4 linked regions of the Macaca mulatta genome follow. The protein of the gene in region 1 purifies or fractionates together with the protein of each later gene. This does not show direct contact. Links are inferred from orthologs where the notes say so. Each region holds a gene or a part of one and is shown in the gene's direction. Other genes may lie near its edges. The genes, in order: NASP, HAT1, ASF1B and ASF1A.

What was found.
Region 2: the proteins of NASP (region 1) and HAT1 purify together in Homo sapiens (affinity purification with mass spectrometry; 3 studies listed by BioGRID and IntAct, with this or other methods). This does not show direct contact. The link is inferred for Macaca mulatta from reciprocal best matches to the Homo sapiens genes NASP and HAT1.
Region 3: the proteins of NASP (region 1) and ASF1B purify together in Homo sapiens (affinity purification with mass spectrometry; 5 studies listed by BioGRID and IntAct, counting the BioPlex papers as one, with this or other methods). This does not show direct contact. The link is inferred for Macaca mulatta from reciprocal best matches to the Homo sapiens genes NASP and ASF1B.
Region 4: the proteins of NASP (region 1) and ASF1A purify together in Homo sapiens (affinity purification with mass spectrometry; 6 studies listed by BioGRID and IntAct, counting the BioPlex papers as one, with this or other methods). This does not show direct contact. The link is inferred for Macaca mulatta from reciprocal best matches to the Homo sapiens genes NASP and ASF1A.

The regions. Positions count from the first base shown.
Region 1 is NC_133406.1:194,999,397-195,002,959, reverse strand, and holds part of NASP (nuclear autoantigenic sperm protein), read left to right. Parts: coding exon 1-261; exon of another isoform or gene 262-387; intron 388-3,563. UniProt on the Homo sapiens protein: Component of the histone chaperone network. Binds and stabilizes histone H3-H4 not bound to chromatin to maintain a soluble reservoir and modulate degradation by chaperone-mediated autophagy.
Region 2 is NC_133417.1:76,881,767-76,885,329, forward strand, and holds part of HAT1 (histone acetyltransferase type B catalytic subunit), read left to right. Parts: intron 1-1,847; coding exon 1,848-2,027; intron 2,028-2,296; coding exon 2,297-2,418; intron 2,419-2,918; coding exon 2,919-3,023; intron 3,024-3,351; coding exon 3,352-3,458; intron 3,459-3,563. UniProt on the Homo sapiens protein: Histone acetyltransferase that plays a role in different biological processes including cell cycle progression, glucose metabolism, histone production or DNA damage repair. Coordinates histone production and acetylation via H4 promoter binding.
Region 3 is NC_133424.1:14,721,826-14,726,174, reverse strand, and holds the start of ASF1B (histone chaperone ASF1B), read left to right. Parts: upstream 1-1,495; 5' UTR 1,496-2,108; coding exon 2,109-2,217; exon of another isoform or gene 2,218-2,317; intron 2,318-3,560; exon of another isoform or gene 3,561-4,349. UniProt on the Homo sapiens protein: Histone chaperone that facilitates histone deposition and histone exchange and removal during nucleosome assembly and disassembly. Cooperates with chromatin assembly factor 1 (CAF-1) to promote replication-dependent chromatin assembly.
Region 4 is NC_133409.1:23,859,185-23,863,319, forward strand, and holds the start of ASF1A (histone chaperone ASF1A), read left to right. Parts: upstream 1-1,333; 5' UTR 1,334-1,673; coding exon 1,674-1,782; intron 1,783-4,135. UniProt on the Homo sapiens protein: Histone chaperone that facilitates histone deposition and histone exchange and removal during nucleosome assembly and disassembly.

The DNA.
Region 1 (3,563 bases):
AGACCCCTATTGAACCACAGACTTCTATAGAAAGACTGACAGAAACAAAAGATGGCTCAGGACTAGAGGAGAAGGTCAGGGCAAAGCTGGTTCCTAGTCAGGAGGAGACTAAGCTGTCTGTAGAAGAGTCTGAGGCAGCTGGAGATGGGGTTGATACCAAGGTAGCCCAGGGAGCTACTGAGAAATCAACTGAAGACAAAGTTCAGATAGCTGCTAATGAAGAGACACAAGAGAGAGAAGAACAGATGAAAGAGGGTGAAGGTAACCGGGATATGCAAGAGCTGCAGTGGGTGGAGTACATTCTGGATTTGACTCACTAATTATGGGTAAAAGTCAGCCTTCCATTCAGGATTTTCCGTCTGCCTTTGGATTAGGAAAGGGCTAAATGCAAAGGGGGGTAGTTTAACAAGGTTGTGCTAGTCAAGTAAGTTAAATCAAAAGCAGCAAGTGTTCTTTAGTTGGCTTATAAACTAACATTTTTACTAACTGCAAAATAGGCCTTCTTTGTGATTTCTGAGACTTGGCTAGCTATCAGTAACTTGTTGCATCATACTAGCCAATAAAGTGGGATGGAAAAGGTAGATGAGGGGTGGGGTAGGTAGGGAAATAGTGGGCTAGTAGGCTGGCAGAGAATGCTGAATGGATGTTCACTTGCATGCCTCTGGATTTTAAAATTTATTGTTCACATGACTCCTTTTCTGTGTGTTAGGAAGCAGGAACAGAGCAGTAGAATCCACTGAATTGGTACACTGAAGCAGGCATGCCATTTAAATGAAGATAGTTAACCTTGACTGTTGTATCACCAGAGTTAAAGAACTCTGGTGCTCCTCTCTACCTTTAAGTCTTCAGGAAGTGTTTAGAGGCTTATTCACATTAGTTAAAACAGGCCCCCCACCACCTTCCCCAAGGCAACAAAAAACAGAACGCATTAGCTCTCTTGCTGCTTTCCTTCCTCATTTCATGCTTGCTTCGGCTGCTAAACTGAACTTTTTGTTACTTAGAATATTATAAAGCGTGGATGCTTTCTATAATGCTATTGGTCTAATTGTGATTAAATTTCATTAAGATGTATAAGCCTCTAATTACTACATAACTGGCAAGTCTGACTTTTGCTATCATTTGAGGATTCTACTGTATATAAGGTTCATCTAACATTGGCATTAATAACCACAGGTATATTCCAACTAATGGTTACTTCTTGTAATTGCCAGACTACTTCGAGTTCTCTTCAGTTTTAGATTTTCAGAGACCCATCTTCAATACTTTGAGCTCATTCTTGTAAACTTCCTTCCACTATGTGCAGGTCCCTGTACTCCAGCCAGCACAGGCTCAGTAACTGGAAATGAATTGGCTAAAATGGTAGCACCATTGGGTTTCTTTTCTTTATGGAAAAAAGCACAGAACTAAATTCCTAAAAAAAACAAACAAACAAACAAAAAAAACACCAAAACCCAAAACAAAACTCCCATGTCTTGATCTTAATGATTGTGAGCAAGCTCTGCTGACTGGCTCCTAAGACCTTGAATGGTAAGCTACGATAGATATGTCATAGTAGGATCATAATTAACATTGTTAGAGCTCTCTCACATATATTACATCTGATCCTAAAACAATACTATGTGGTAGGTAGTAGTGCCCAAGTTATAGTGATGAGGTTGAAGTTTAAAGGTTACATGACTTGTTTAGGGGTCATAGTACTGAATCCAAACCAAGATCTGCCTTGAATATATTATTCTTCCCAAGTTACCACACATCAAAGAAGACAGTGTTCATCCCTTTCCTACACTCAGTTAGAAATTTTGTTGTGGGCTGGGTGCAGTGGCTCACGCCTGTAATCCCAGCACTTTGGGAGACTGAGGTGGGCGGATCACCTGGTCAGGAGTTTGAGACCAGCCTGGCCAGTATGGTGAAACTCCGACTCTATTAAAAATACAAAAGTTAGCCGGACATGGTGGCATGTGCCTGTGGTCCCAGCTACTCAGGAGGCTGAACGAGAAGAATGGCTTGAACCCGGGAGGCAGAGGTTGCAGTGAGCCGAGATCATGCCACTGCACTCCAGCCTGGGCAACACAGCAAGTCTCTGTCTCAAAAAAAAAAAAAAAACAAAAAAAAAACACCAAAAAGAAATTTTGTCACTTATTTTAAAAATTAACTATATTTGAAAAGCCCCAGGCTTTTCATATGCTGCATCTTTTGGTGTTGTATATCAAGTATTGTTCTGCTTGTAAAGACAATACAGTTTTCCGTACTTTACAAAAGAAGAAATGGGAGAAAGAGGTTTAAGTAATTTACCCTAGTCACACAGTAAGGAGAAGGCTGGGTACCCAAACTTCTGGCTCGAGTACTCAACCACTTTCTGTGTTTTATTTTCCTTTATGTGGCAGCACCATTCTGCAGAAATCTTCCAAGCAGTTTTTTCACTTAAAAATTAAAACCCTATTTACTGCCACCTCTTGACTCTTTGCCATGTGTTGGACTGTACATTTCCTTCTAATAAAGATAATTGGCCTGTTCCTTTTCTTTTTGAATCGGGTCTTGCTCTTTTGCCAGGCTGGAGTGCAGTGGCATGACAGTCATGGCTCACTATAGCCTCAAACTCCTATGCCGAAGCCATCCTCCTGCCTCAGCCTCTCAGGCAGCTGAGACTGCAGGTGTGCACCACCACGCCCAGCTGGGGTGCAATGGTGCAATCTCAGCTAACTGCAACCTCCACCCCCCAGGTTCAAGCATTTCTCCTACCTCAGCCTCCCGAGTAGCTGGGACCACAGACACATGTCCCCAGGCCTGACTAATTTTTTTGTATTTTTAGTAGAGATGGAATTTCACCGTGTTGACCAGGTTGGTCTCGAACTCCTGACCTCAGGTGATCCACTAGCCTCAGCCTCCCAGAGCGCTGGGATTACAGGTGTAAACCATAGCACCTGGCCCACCATACACCATTATCTTTTCTTTTTTTTCTTTTTCTTTTTCCTTTCTTTTTTTTTTTTTTTTGAGACAGAGTCTCGCTCTGTAGCCCAGGCTGGAGTGCAGTGGCCGGATCTCAGCTCACTGCAAGCTCTGCCTCCCGGGTTTATGCCATTCTCCTGCCTCAGCCTCCCGAGTAGCTGGGACTACAGGCACCCGCCACCTCGCCCGGCTAGTTTTTTTTTTTTGTATTTCTTAGTAGAGACGGGGTTTCACCATGTTAGCTAGGATGGTCTCGATCTCCTGACCTCATGATCCGCCCGTCTCGGCCTCCCAAAGTGCTGGGATTACAGGCTTGAGCCACCGCGCCCGGCCCACCATTATCTTTTCATATCCAAATTTCCAAGTGGGTCTGGGCTTAGTTCCCCAAAGTTAGACCAGATGGGTGGTTTTATTAACTCCGCCCATCCTCTAGCAGAATACACAGAAAAGCTGAAGTAGATTTACATATTTAGGATAATTGACAGAAAAGTAAATACTTCATCTTCCCAATGTGTAGGAAAAATTAAATTGATATTGTTATCTTCTATTCCTATCTGGTATCTCTTCCTACTCATACCAGAACGCTAGAAGACAACCTCTAATTTGAAACAAAGTAT
Region 2 (3,563 bases), on another chromosome or scaffold:
ATTTGTAATGCCTTCTTGAGAAGACAGGACATAAGGAAAGTTTTTAAAAGTTAAAATTATACATGCTATGAAAGTCTTAAAGTGATTTTTAAACTGATAGATTATAAATCTCTTTTTAAAAGTAGTTTTCCTTGACTTTTTAAAAACCTTAACTAACATTATGCTATACTGTTTTACTCATCACTACTTTGGATTTTAATTGCTACACAGCATACCTATTACAGCTATCCCTCATTATGACAGTTTCCTTGATAGTGGTTGAAATTGTACTGATTCTATAAAATATGCTTAAGATGGCCTCTTCACGTTAGCAATTGCAAGGAAAAATATTTATCAAATAGTACTTTAAAAATAAACAAAAACGGTCCTATGAAATGCAGTTTATTTGATCTCGAGTGTGAATGAGTTGTAAGGACTGATGTACATATTAGAAATAAACTGTTGGGCAAAATGCTGAAGAGCTATATTTTCAATAATAGGTCTTTTTTTATAGCTATAAACAAATTATATATACATGTTGGTGGTACCAGAGCATTGAAAATAAAACTTGTTTGTGATAAACGTCATCCCTGGTTCTCTATCCTAAAATGTAACTGAATCATAATAAAGTGCTATTCATCTGCAGGTGCATTGCCTCTACTTAGTTAAAAGATGGTTGAAAGGACAGGAATTAGTAGCATGTTGTATTAGCCTTTTGTAGTGTATTTTGTCCTAAGCATCTTAATTTCCCTGTTTTGAATGCTAAGTAGCAAGGGTCTTGGTTTAGAACTAATACCCATCATGCATGTAAACGGTATGAAAGAGCTGCTTAGTAAGTTAACACAAAGTGTTCTTGTGTCAGTCCTTGTGGAAATAGATACAATACAAACATTACAGCTGAACTCACGGCAAACTCCATTAAGTAAAAACCTGGCCTCATTGTTCAGGAAAAAGTTTGAATAGAATACAAGCTCATTTTGTTGAATGTAATGTCAGGCTTTTAGGGACTGTATTGAGGGATAAGGTTTTGTTAAGTTGAGACCAATTCATTAAGTTTTATTGCCTGGTGAGAAGCAGCAATACTTTATTGTAAGACTTCATCAAATATTCATGGTTAAAGAGAAGTAGTAAATGTATTCAATCAAGTGGTCTTTTGGGATTTTGAAAAGGATTATGAAGTCTGCTCAGCTGATAACATTGATAGAGGTTGTTAAGGGTAATTTTAATCTCCAAGTTTAGTTTTGTTGTCCAGTCTTGTCTCTTTTTTACTGTCACAAATCCAGGTCTCTAAGAATTGTGTCACATTCTAAGGATGAAAGAATGATATATGCATTCATATAATTTATGTTATTTCCTAAATAGGTATATTTTAAAATTATCATCTTAGTTTGAGTTTGGCATATGAGGGAATTGTGACCCATCTAGTTGTGAGATTGCTATTCATTTGGTCTGACTCTAGCCTCATCTCACTACCTCTGGTGATCTTTTCATGTCTTGGATAATATGATTTCTTTGACACATATAAAATAATAAGCAGCCTTTTGCCTTGGCCAGTTCAGACTGTCATGAAGGGGTATAGTCAGCATTTTCTACATAACAGAAACGTCCATAGCATTGCCCTTATTATTGTACTTGGTATCAGATTACCTGCCTTCTCTTATTTACTTTTATGTTATGCTTATCTCAGTTTTGTGTGATGTAGTTTGTGCACAGGAAGCTCATCCTTTTCCAGTTCACTGTGTGTTTACTTCTTTAGTTTTCAACCAAAATTTTATAATTTGTGTTGGTTTTGTCAGTTTTAAAGAAAGTAACCATATTCAACTTAAAGTTGAATTTGTTATTGATTTTTTATATCCTTTATTTTTTAGGCAGATGATGTTGAGGGCAAAATTAGACAAATCATTCCACCTGGATTTTGCACAAACACAAATGATTTCCTTTCTTTACTGGAAAAAGAAGTTGATTTCAAGCCATTCGGAACCTTACTTCATACCTACTCAGTTCTCAGTCCAACAGGAGGAGAAAACTTTACCTTTCAGATATATAAGGTAAAGATAAATCTAAATATTTATTGAGTAAAGTTCTTTTTGCCTGAAACCTGTATGTAGTTTTGTTGTCAGTGATTTATTCTAACTGCAGTAAACAAGTTTTAATCAGCATTATAAACAAAGATCTATTTTGTGTGTATGTCTGTGTCTGTGTCCACATCTTAATCTGAGACTTCTAAACATTTTCCCACAGGATAATTTTGTGTTCTGCAGACTTTCACTTACCTTTGTGATGAGTTTCACCTGACTTTTCCTGGCTTTTTCCCTAGGCCGACATGACATGTAGAGGCTTTCGAGAGTATCATGAAAGGCTTCAGACCTTTTTGATGTGGTTTATTGAAACTGCTAGCTTTATTGACGTGGATGATGAAAGATGGCACTACTTTCTAGTGTAAGTACAGTTCTAAAGCAACAGTAGACCTTATTACCTCCACAAAGCCAGCATTTTAATTGTGGCAGCCCAATTATTGGGACAGTATAATGATATTTTTCCCAGGAAAGAAAAACTATTGTTTATGAGGCTTGAGTTTTCCTTCATTATGCTTTGGGAGACCTTGAGAATAGAGCTGAATTAAATGCTGTTGTCCGTTAGGGCCCTGAATGTAGGCTTAAACAGTAAAATGAGCTTTGCCTGTGTTTTCTTTTACTTGCCACCTATTCATCTTTATAATAGGCAAGTGCACTGAAGTGATGTAAAGAGGTCTGATTTATCCAAGTTGCTGCACACCAATTAAGTGAATTGTACATTCAGAACATAGCAGGTGTACCCATTGGGCCCTCACAGAGTAGCTTGCTGACACTGAAAATTCAGTCAGAGAATGGAAAAGAAAATGGACACTGCATGGGAGCGCGACTGTAATTGACCTGCTTGGCTTTCTGTTTTATCTGCAGATTTGAGAAGTATAATAAGGATGGAGCTACGCTTTTTGCGACCGTAGGCTACATGACAGTCTATAATTACTATGTGTACCCAGACAAAACCCGGCCACGTGTAAGGTAATTGGCAGTATAACACGTGCCTTGTCTTTTATTTCAGCAGAAGGAACTGCTGAAGTTTCCAATACTTGTTATAATAGTGTTGATTTGTTTAAAAAAAAAATCACTATTATTCATGGACTATGTACTGATTTATTTCATTGTTCCCTTTGAAACAGTGTAGAAGATTAAACTAATTTTGAGTATCCTGATAATTTTTGGGTATCTCAAAGGTGGATTGAAAAAAGATCACACAAACTTTAAAGTGTTTGTAATACTATAGTGATTTGCAAGTTTTAAACTGGTCATGTTATGATATTTTAATTTTAAAATAATTTCTTTACTGTAGTCAGATGCTGATTTTGACTCCATTTCAAGGTCAAGGCCATGGTGCTCAGCTTCTTGAAACAGTTCATAGATACTACACTGAATTTCCTACAGTTCTTGATATTACAGGTATGTAAAATTTGATTTGTTACTGAAAGAGCCTTTCTAAAAAATGTCTCCTTACTGATTGATTGTATTTTTGTCAGAAATAACTATTTTAAACAACAACATTTT
Region 3 (4,349 bases), on another chromosome or scaffold:
AAAAGTAAATCTTGGCCGGGCGCGGTGGCTCAAGCCTGTAATCCCAGCACTTTGGGAGGCTGAGACGGGCGGATCACGAGGTCAGGAGATCGAGACCATCCTGGCTAACACGGTGAAACCCCGTCTCTACTAAAAAATACAAAAAAAAAAAAACTAGGCCGGGCGTGGTGGCTCACGCCTGTAATCCCAGCACTTTGGGAGGCCGAGGTGGGCAGATCACAAGGTCAGGAGATCGAGACCATGGTGAAACCCCGTCTCTACTAAAAATAGAAAAAATTAGCCGGGCGCAGGGGCGGGCGCCTGTAGTCCCAGCTACTCGGGAGGCTGAGGCAGGAGAATGGCGTAAACCCGGGAGGCGGAACTTGCAGTGAGCTGAGATCCGGCCACTGCACTCCAGCCCGGGCGACAGAGCGAGACTCCGTCTCAAAAAAAAAAAAAAAAAAGTAAATCTTAAATTAAAAAAAAAAAGATATGGCTGGGTACAGTGGCTCATGCCTGTAAACCCAGCACTCTGGAAGATCAAGGCGGGCGGATCACTTGAGATCAGGCGTTTGAGACCAGCCTGGCCAACAAGGTGAAACCCGGTCTCTACTAAAAATACAGAAAAAAATTTAGCTGGTTGTGGTGGTGGTCACCTGTAATCCCAGATACTCAGGAGGCTGAGGCAGGAGAATCGCTTGAACCCGGGAGGTGGAGGTTGCAGTGAGCCGAGATCGCGCTATTGCACTCCAGCCTGGGTGACAGAGCGAGATTCCGTCTCAAAGAAAAAAAAAGTGGTTTCCAAAAAATGTAAAATTAGGTGCGCGGCTGGCATTATTTTTCCACTGGGTAGAGCTGATCGCCCGTGGGGGCAGAGACTCTGCGACCTGGAGTCTCCCAGGCCGGGGGCGACGGGATGCGGCGGAGAGAAGTTTCCGGATGTATTGTGCGGTCATGAATCATGTCAGGGAATTGCCACTGCCCCCGTTGAATGGAGAGACGCTGCCTCAGGAGCTGAGTAGCAGAGCCCGGACTCGAACACTGGTCTGCCCCCGAACTGAAACTCCCATTTTCAGTACCGTCTGCTTGAAACCTTCCAAGAGCCCTTGAGGGGGCGAGAGCGGGATCCAAACCCCTCGGGGGCGAGAGCGGGATTCGAACCCCTCGTGGGCGAAAGCGGGATCCGAACCGGGCTGGACTCCCGAGGTCCCAGCGCGCCGCGTGACCGCCACTCCGAACGTTCGCAACGTTCACAACGGACTCCAGGGCCGCTGGACCTCAAGGGTCAGGAGCCACTCAGAAAAGCTCCAGACTACGCTCACCTGTTGACAGACGCTGAGGGCGCAACCCTCCTCCTCTTTTTTCACACTCGCCAGCACCGCGGCGGCGCTCGACTTCCGCTTCTCTCCAGCGAATCCCCAGCTGAGCCTCATTCTGCTCCCGGCACTATTACCAATCCAGCCAATCAACTCTCAGAAAACCCTCTTTATCTCCGCCCCACTCCCTCCTGCCAATCACTGAGGGTGCGAGCACCGCCCTTCCCGCCTTCTTTAGCGAGCGCCGCGCGCCACCGCTCGGCGGTTGGCGGCGCTGCGCGGTGCGGGATGCAGCTCCCGGAAAAGCGAGGCGAGGGGCGGGCTACGCCGGTGCGGGAACCCTCAGGATTGGGCAGAAGGAGTCCGGCGCTCTGACTCCGTCCACTCCCGCCGTTGACATCCGAGTCGGAGACGCTGGGGATTGGTTCCCAGCGGACACGCTAAGAAGCCTGGAGATGGTTTCGCCCTCCTCACACGCCGCGGAGAGGGAGCTCCGCTGATTGGTCCGGGGAGTCTGGGCGCGCGCCGACTGGCGCTCCAGGATTGGCTGAGGGGGTGCGCGCGCCGCCAGGGGAGCGTTGGCGGTGATTGGCCAGAGGGCGGAGGCCGGCTATTTGAAGGCGGTCCGCGGTTTAGGTGCGCACTTCAGTCCGCGGAGGGAAGAGGCGGGAGTGGACTTGGTCTGCCGTACCCCACTGACGCCCCCCCACTCACCGGACCCAGGCGCGGCCTCCGCCACAGCCACAGCCCTGCCCCTGCCCCTGCCCCTGCTGCGGCGCGGCGCGGCGCGGCGAGGCGAGGCGAGGCGAGGCGATGGCCAAGGTGTCGGTGCTGAACGTGGCGGTCCTGGAGAACCCGAGCCCTTTCCACAGCCCCTTCCGGTTCGAGATCAGCTTCGAGTGCAGTGAAGCCCTGGCGGACGGTGAGGCTGGGCCCGTGCGGGGACCCCCACCCCCGGGCCGACCCCGGCCTCCCCTTGGAGAAGCGCTCCCATGGCCAACTTGATCTCCCCCATGAAACCCCTCGTCCCCTTTCCGCCAATCCCGATCTCCGGGTGGAGACTCCCCGCCATCAGCCAACTCGGACCTCCCCGTGACCTCCTCTCCCACTGCCCGCCTTGACCTCCCGGGTGGAGACCCCCAGCTAGCTAACTCGGACCTCCCCGTGACCTCTTCCCCCACTGCCCGCCCCGACCTCCCCATAAAGATTAACCCCAGTCAAGCCCCACTTCCCGCGTGGGAAACCTCATCCATCTTTTTAATCTGGAGGTCTTCCTAGGTACCCGTTTTCATGGAGAGATCTTCTTGGCCTCCATTTCTTAAGCCACGGAGATCTTCAGCCACCGTGATTTCCCTGTGGCAAGACCCGCGCTTTAGCCACCCACCCATTTTTGCCCACTTATTCCCTCTTTAGTGAGATACTCACACCTCCCATTTTCCCTCTGGAGACTCCGAATGTCCAGCCCCTTCCCATTTTCCCCGGGGGAAATCCTAGCCATCTGCTATTTTCCCTATGGAGATCTCTCACGCAAGCTCCTTTCCCTCCTCACCGTGAAGACGCTCCCCACCAGTAACCGTTTTTCGCTGTGAAAACCCCTCAACCCCTTTTCAGGACCGCCCTCGCCCCCATCTTCCCATTTGTCTCCCACCAATCCCCTCCCCAACCTGCCAATATTTCAACAACCCCACCCGCACCAGTTGCTGTTGCTTTTCTGCCATTGCACATACCCTGGAACCTGGTTCCTCCTTCGTTGGGGCCCAACCCCTGCTATGCTTGAGCTCCCCCTGGGAAAGGATGCTACCGTCTTTGAGGGGAACTTGGTCTCCCCAGCTCCCCTTCCCCACCCTCTTCTGTGGACTTGGATAAACACACTGAGATCTGAGGGCTGGCATAGCCAGGCAGGTATTAGCTGCTTCTCCAGGTTTGCCCACCCATTTCCAACTGAGTTACTACAGCAGTTCTTCCCTCGCTTTTTCTTTCTTCTTTTTTTTCTTTTTTCTTTTTTTTTTTTTTTGAGACAGACTCTTGCTCTGTTGCCCAGGCTGAAATGCAGTGGCACGATCTCAGCAATTCTCCTGCCTCAGCCTCCCGAGTAGCTGGGACTACCAGCACCTGTCACCATGCCCGGTTAATTTTAGTATTTTTAGTTGGAGGCAGGGTTTCACCACATTAGCCAGGCTGGTCTCGAAGTCCTGATCTCAAGTGATCCACCCACCTTGGTTTCCCAAAGTGCTGGGATTACAGGCGTGAGCCACCGCGCCCGGTCTTTTTTTTTTTTCTTTTTTTTTTTTAATATAGCTGGATAATCAGTGCCAAGCTTCCATTGCTTTTGATGGTCTGACCTAGTCTGGAGGGTGAGTGGGTTGGGCTGAGCTGTGACAGGCTCCAGCTTCAAACAGTCACCTGGAGCCCGGAGGTCACAGCCTCCTGTACATCTTTTCCAAGGTGCTTCTGCAGATGTACTTGTTAATCTGTGTGACTTAAAGGTGGACATGGCTCTCATCTCACAGATGAGAAGACAGGAGCCACAAAGCGCAAAAGACCTTTCAAGTCAAGGCCTGTACAAATCCAAAATCTAAGGTCACCCAGGGAGCCTTGGCACCACTAAAATGCAAGTCCTGCTTTCAGAAAGAAGTACTCCATTAGGCCATTTTTCTACTTGGTGGTTAAAAGAGAAAAGGCAGTAGCCGAGGAGGTAGCGATCTGGGGGCCTGTGAAGCCAGGATGTGCTAACTAGTGCCTTTCGGGGGCAGGTGGGTGTTTGGCCCTCAAAGCTGGTCACCTGGACTAGCTTGGGGCTGATAGAGTGAGATGTGGATGTGCTTCGGGTAGGCCAGTGGGTCTCTCTCTCCCCGGTCTGTCTTGCTCCTTTTTAAATTAAGCAGTCTACTTGTGGCTAACTATAGAATAAGCCGAGTTAAATCCTTTCTGGAACAGGGCAGCGTGTAAATAAATAAATAAAGTGTAGAATGACACTGTGGAATAAGATTTAATTTAAAAGCCAGGAGGAAATGGAAGGAAGTAATAGGTTGAGGGATTCCCAGCTCCCAGGCG
Region 4 (4,135 bases), on another chromosome or scaffold:
TCCTATATCTAACTGTTCAATCCATGACAAAAAAAGGGAACTCTTCCCCACTCTAACTGGTCTTCCTAAATGTAGGAGGGGCTGACATTAGCTGTCTCACATTAACTTTCAAAAGACCATCAGATGAAAACGTTTCATCAAAAGCCACCTACTTAAGTATGAACAATGCCCAAAGAATGACAAATCAACATTCTGGGCACTATCCTAAGAGAAAACTCTTCCAGAGCAGATACTTCAGAATTAATTTTCTCTCTGAATTTGGCCAAGTTTGGTGGTTTCATTCACAACATTTAAGGAAAAAAGTGACGGTTTATGGATAGCAGGTAATAAAAACAAATCTTTATACCACTTACTAGTAATAGAAACGGTTTAGGCTCACAAATGTGTTAAAGCTTTCTCTTTCCCCGCAATGGTAGTCAAACAGCATAAACGAATCAACATTTCCTCAGTTCAGATCTCAACTGGTTACAGGCAAGCAAGGGCTCCTCAGAATTTGCTTTACTAATGGTTTAGGTCAGAAATTTTTTTGAAGATCAAATGTCTTGCTATGTCTTCGTGTTCTTTTCCCCATCTCTATTATGTGTGTTGCCCTGTTGGTCTCCTGACACTTCCATTTTCTCCTTTTATGTTCCTGCTATGCTCTCCCAATGGCAGTAACCTAGGGTATAACTGATCACACCTCTTGTGATTTTTTTCTTATTCTAGGACTTTCCAGATCTGGACTCCGAAGAAGACGCCCAGGTGTAAGCCCAAAGGTTACCTATTTAAATTTTCCAAGCACAGTGTGTGGAAAATCATTCCTCGCCCTTCATTTTGTGTTGCTTAACGGCGCTGTCGTGCCTAAACGTAGATACTGGCCAAGAGCTAGATTTCCAAAATGGCTTTGCTCCTTTCGAGCTGACATCGGTCTATAACATGCAATTTATTTCCCCTGCAGGCAATCTTTTTCTCTACTCCAACTACTACCCGATACACAGAAAGCTGAACCTAACCCAGTGTAAACACCGATTCTCATCTGCTAAATTCAGCAAGGCCGGCAAAGCTGTTGCAATGATGTAAAAAGAGCGTTAAAAAATTAAAAAAAAAAAAAAAAACACAAAAAACCACAAAAAAACAAAAAACGCCAAAACACCCACACGAAGCCAACCGGAGGGGCGGGCGTCGGCCGAATCGCGCCCTCCCGCCGCGGCCACGCCTCCCCGCCGCGGCCACGCCCCCGCCGCCCCTCTCCGCGCCGCCGCCGGCGGCCTCCGCGCGGGCCTCCCAGCCCTTATTCCACTCACTTTGTTCTCCGCCTTTGTCCTAATCCACACCAGCAGGTGGAGCCGCAGTTAAAGTTTCCGAGTCCATTCCGGGAGCGGGAGCCCATCTTGCTGGCTGCCGAGGCCCTCGCTGGAGGAGGAGGGTCAGAGCTCGGGTGCAGCCAATCGAGGGCAACGCTGCTACTTATCAGAGCAGAATGGGCTGTAGTTTAGTGAAATAGGAAAGCTGCAAAACACTGTGGAGTGCTCCCGTGTAAATAAAAAGAGGAAAAAAAAAGTTTCTCAAGTCGCCGCTGCACAACGTCGGGCCGGCGCTGGGGCGGGGGTCTGCGCTCTCCCGAGCGGCCGCGCGCTGGACTTTATTGTGCCGCAACCAGCCCCAGTTCCCATTGTTTGTGTTTTTTTCAAAATATGGCAAAGGTTCAGGTGAACAATGTAGTGGTGCTGGATAACCCTTCTCCTTTCTACAACCCGTTCCAGTTCGAGATCACCTTCGAGTGCATCGAGGACCTGTCTGAAGGTGAGTGCGGCGCCCGTGCGCCCGGGCTGTCAGTTGCGGGCTGCAGACGTTGAAAGTTTCCCGGGCCCGGCCTCGCGCTGGGCGGCTGTGTTCGGCGCCTGGCGGCCGCGGGCTGCTCTGCGGAGGGAAACTTCAAGTTGATGGTCGACGGCCGCCGAGGCGCGCGCGGCTTTCCGCCGCAGCCCAGGCGCCTGCCGGGCTCAACTTGCGAGGAACTTGTTTGAGCGGAGGAAGCCATGTTGTCAGCTTTGTCTGCGGGCGGGCAGCTCGGAGACCCGCACTCGCGCCCGCGGCGCCTCCTGGGGTCGCGCCGGGCTGGCTTAGCGCCGCCAACAGCTTCCGCGACCCTCCGGGCCCGGGCACGGAGGCTGGGAAGGGAGAGGCTGTGCGTGTGGTCGCGCCGGCGAGTTCGGAGCGGAGCCATCTTACCCCAGTCGAGAATTGGGCCAGCGACCCCGGCGCACGGCGCCTCTTCTTGCCCCTTCGCCCGCCTGCCCCCGGCGAAAGGGAGGCAGTAACTCTCGAGAGCTCACGGTGGAGTCGCCGCACTCTCCGGGCTGGCCATGCCTGGCCGCTTCGGGGAGGAGAGCGAGGCTGTCCTCGCGCTGATTTCTGGCTTCCTCGACCAACCAGCGGGGGAGGCGGGCGCAGGCTCGGCCCCTCCGCGCCGCGGGCTGGGCGCCGGCACTCCCCGGGGGCCGCGGGTCCTGTTCGGCCGGTCCTCTTCGGCCGGTGCCCGGGATGCGCCGGGATGCTGGCGCGCAGGCTCCCCAACCAACGTGGACTCCTTTCCCCTAATGACGAAAAGCTAATCTCAGGAAGAGAGAGAGAGCTGAGCTAGGAAGTTACATTTAACCTAAGAGCAGAAATAAGATACTTAAATAATTTCCAGGACTTAATCTCTGCCTTCTAAATAGTCTGAAAGAAGACTTTCTTCAAGAGCGTGTTGAAATGTAAAATAACTCCACATCCAGATGCAGAACACACCCTAAACATAAAACACAAACGTAGGCTAGGAAATTAAGGTAAACAACTCATGTCAGTCCAAGAATTCCTGGTATTTTTTCTACATATATTTTAAGGTCTTAAAAATACGTATTCTTAATATGTTTAGTAATAAATATTTAGAAAGCTAAAACAACAATTATCTTTGCTTTAATTATATTTTACTAAAGTAATTCAGTACTTCATTTGCCAGTTTTGAAGGGGAAATAGTTTAACTTCATCGATGAGGGGCATACTTCTTTGAACTAGAAGTGTATTTTTAAAATGCTCTGAAGATGATTTGGCTAATCGTGGCATGTAAAACTTTTCATTTTAAAAACTAGTTTTTAATCTCTAAAATGTATGTATCATATGTAAGGTTAATTTTAATTATAAAACAATATATATCATTGTAATAAACTTTTAGAAAGTTGTACAGGCATATATAAAGTTAACAGTTCTCTGTACTCAATGCCTTCCCCTATCTCCTTTAGGTAATCACAATTACTACTTTAACATGTGCCCCTCTGTGGGGTTTTTTTTTTTTTTTTTTTTTTTTTTGGTAAACCTATATAGAGTATAAATGCACATACATATATAGGGCAAATTTTGAAAGATGATTCATTTATTAAAATAATTTCAAATAGGCCATTGATAACACTTAGGGGTATTTTTCTTATTACTCTGAAGTCATCTGTATGATACTACTATTAATATAAGCATTGCAGCTACCAGGCCCATTTTTCACACCCAACAGTCAGTAATTTTTTTTTTTTTTTATTGCCAACTGCATATAAAAATAGACAAAAGAAAAACCATTGATCGGTCCATTCCAACTTACACCACAGTGTTTTTCAAGTATACCACCAGAAGTTCTTCAAATTACAGGTATTTCTCAAGTGATGCCTTCCATTTTAGGAGTCAGCTCTGAACAAAGAAGATAGATGACTCAGGATGTCGTTACAGGGCTTTTACATTGCATAGATGAAACCAGCCATTCATAAAGCCAAAACAGGTTCCATTTTTAACTGGGATCCATTCAGAACCCAGCTGAATCACATCAGGGTTTTACAGTACTGGTATCAAAAATATACTTATTTCCAATGGTATATTTCACTTCCTAGGCACCATTACTGAGCATTTATTTAGTATTTTAAAAAATATTTTAAGCTGAGTCATACTGAAGCTGCAAAGGAATCTTTCAAAAAGGTGCCATGCCTGTATACTCCACCTAGAGGCTATGTGGATTAAGGAAATTGAGTTTACTTAGCAAAGGCTTCTTATAGGTTCCATACTTTTATATTATAGTTCTTTTAAAAATTCTGTTCTTAAACTATAGAATTTTTTTTTTTTTTTAAATGAGACAGTC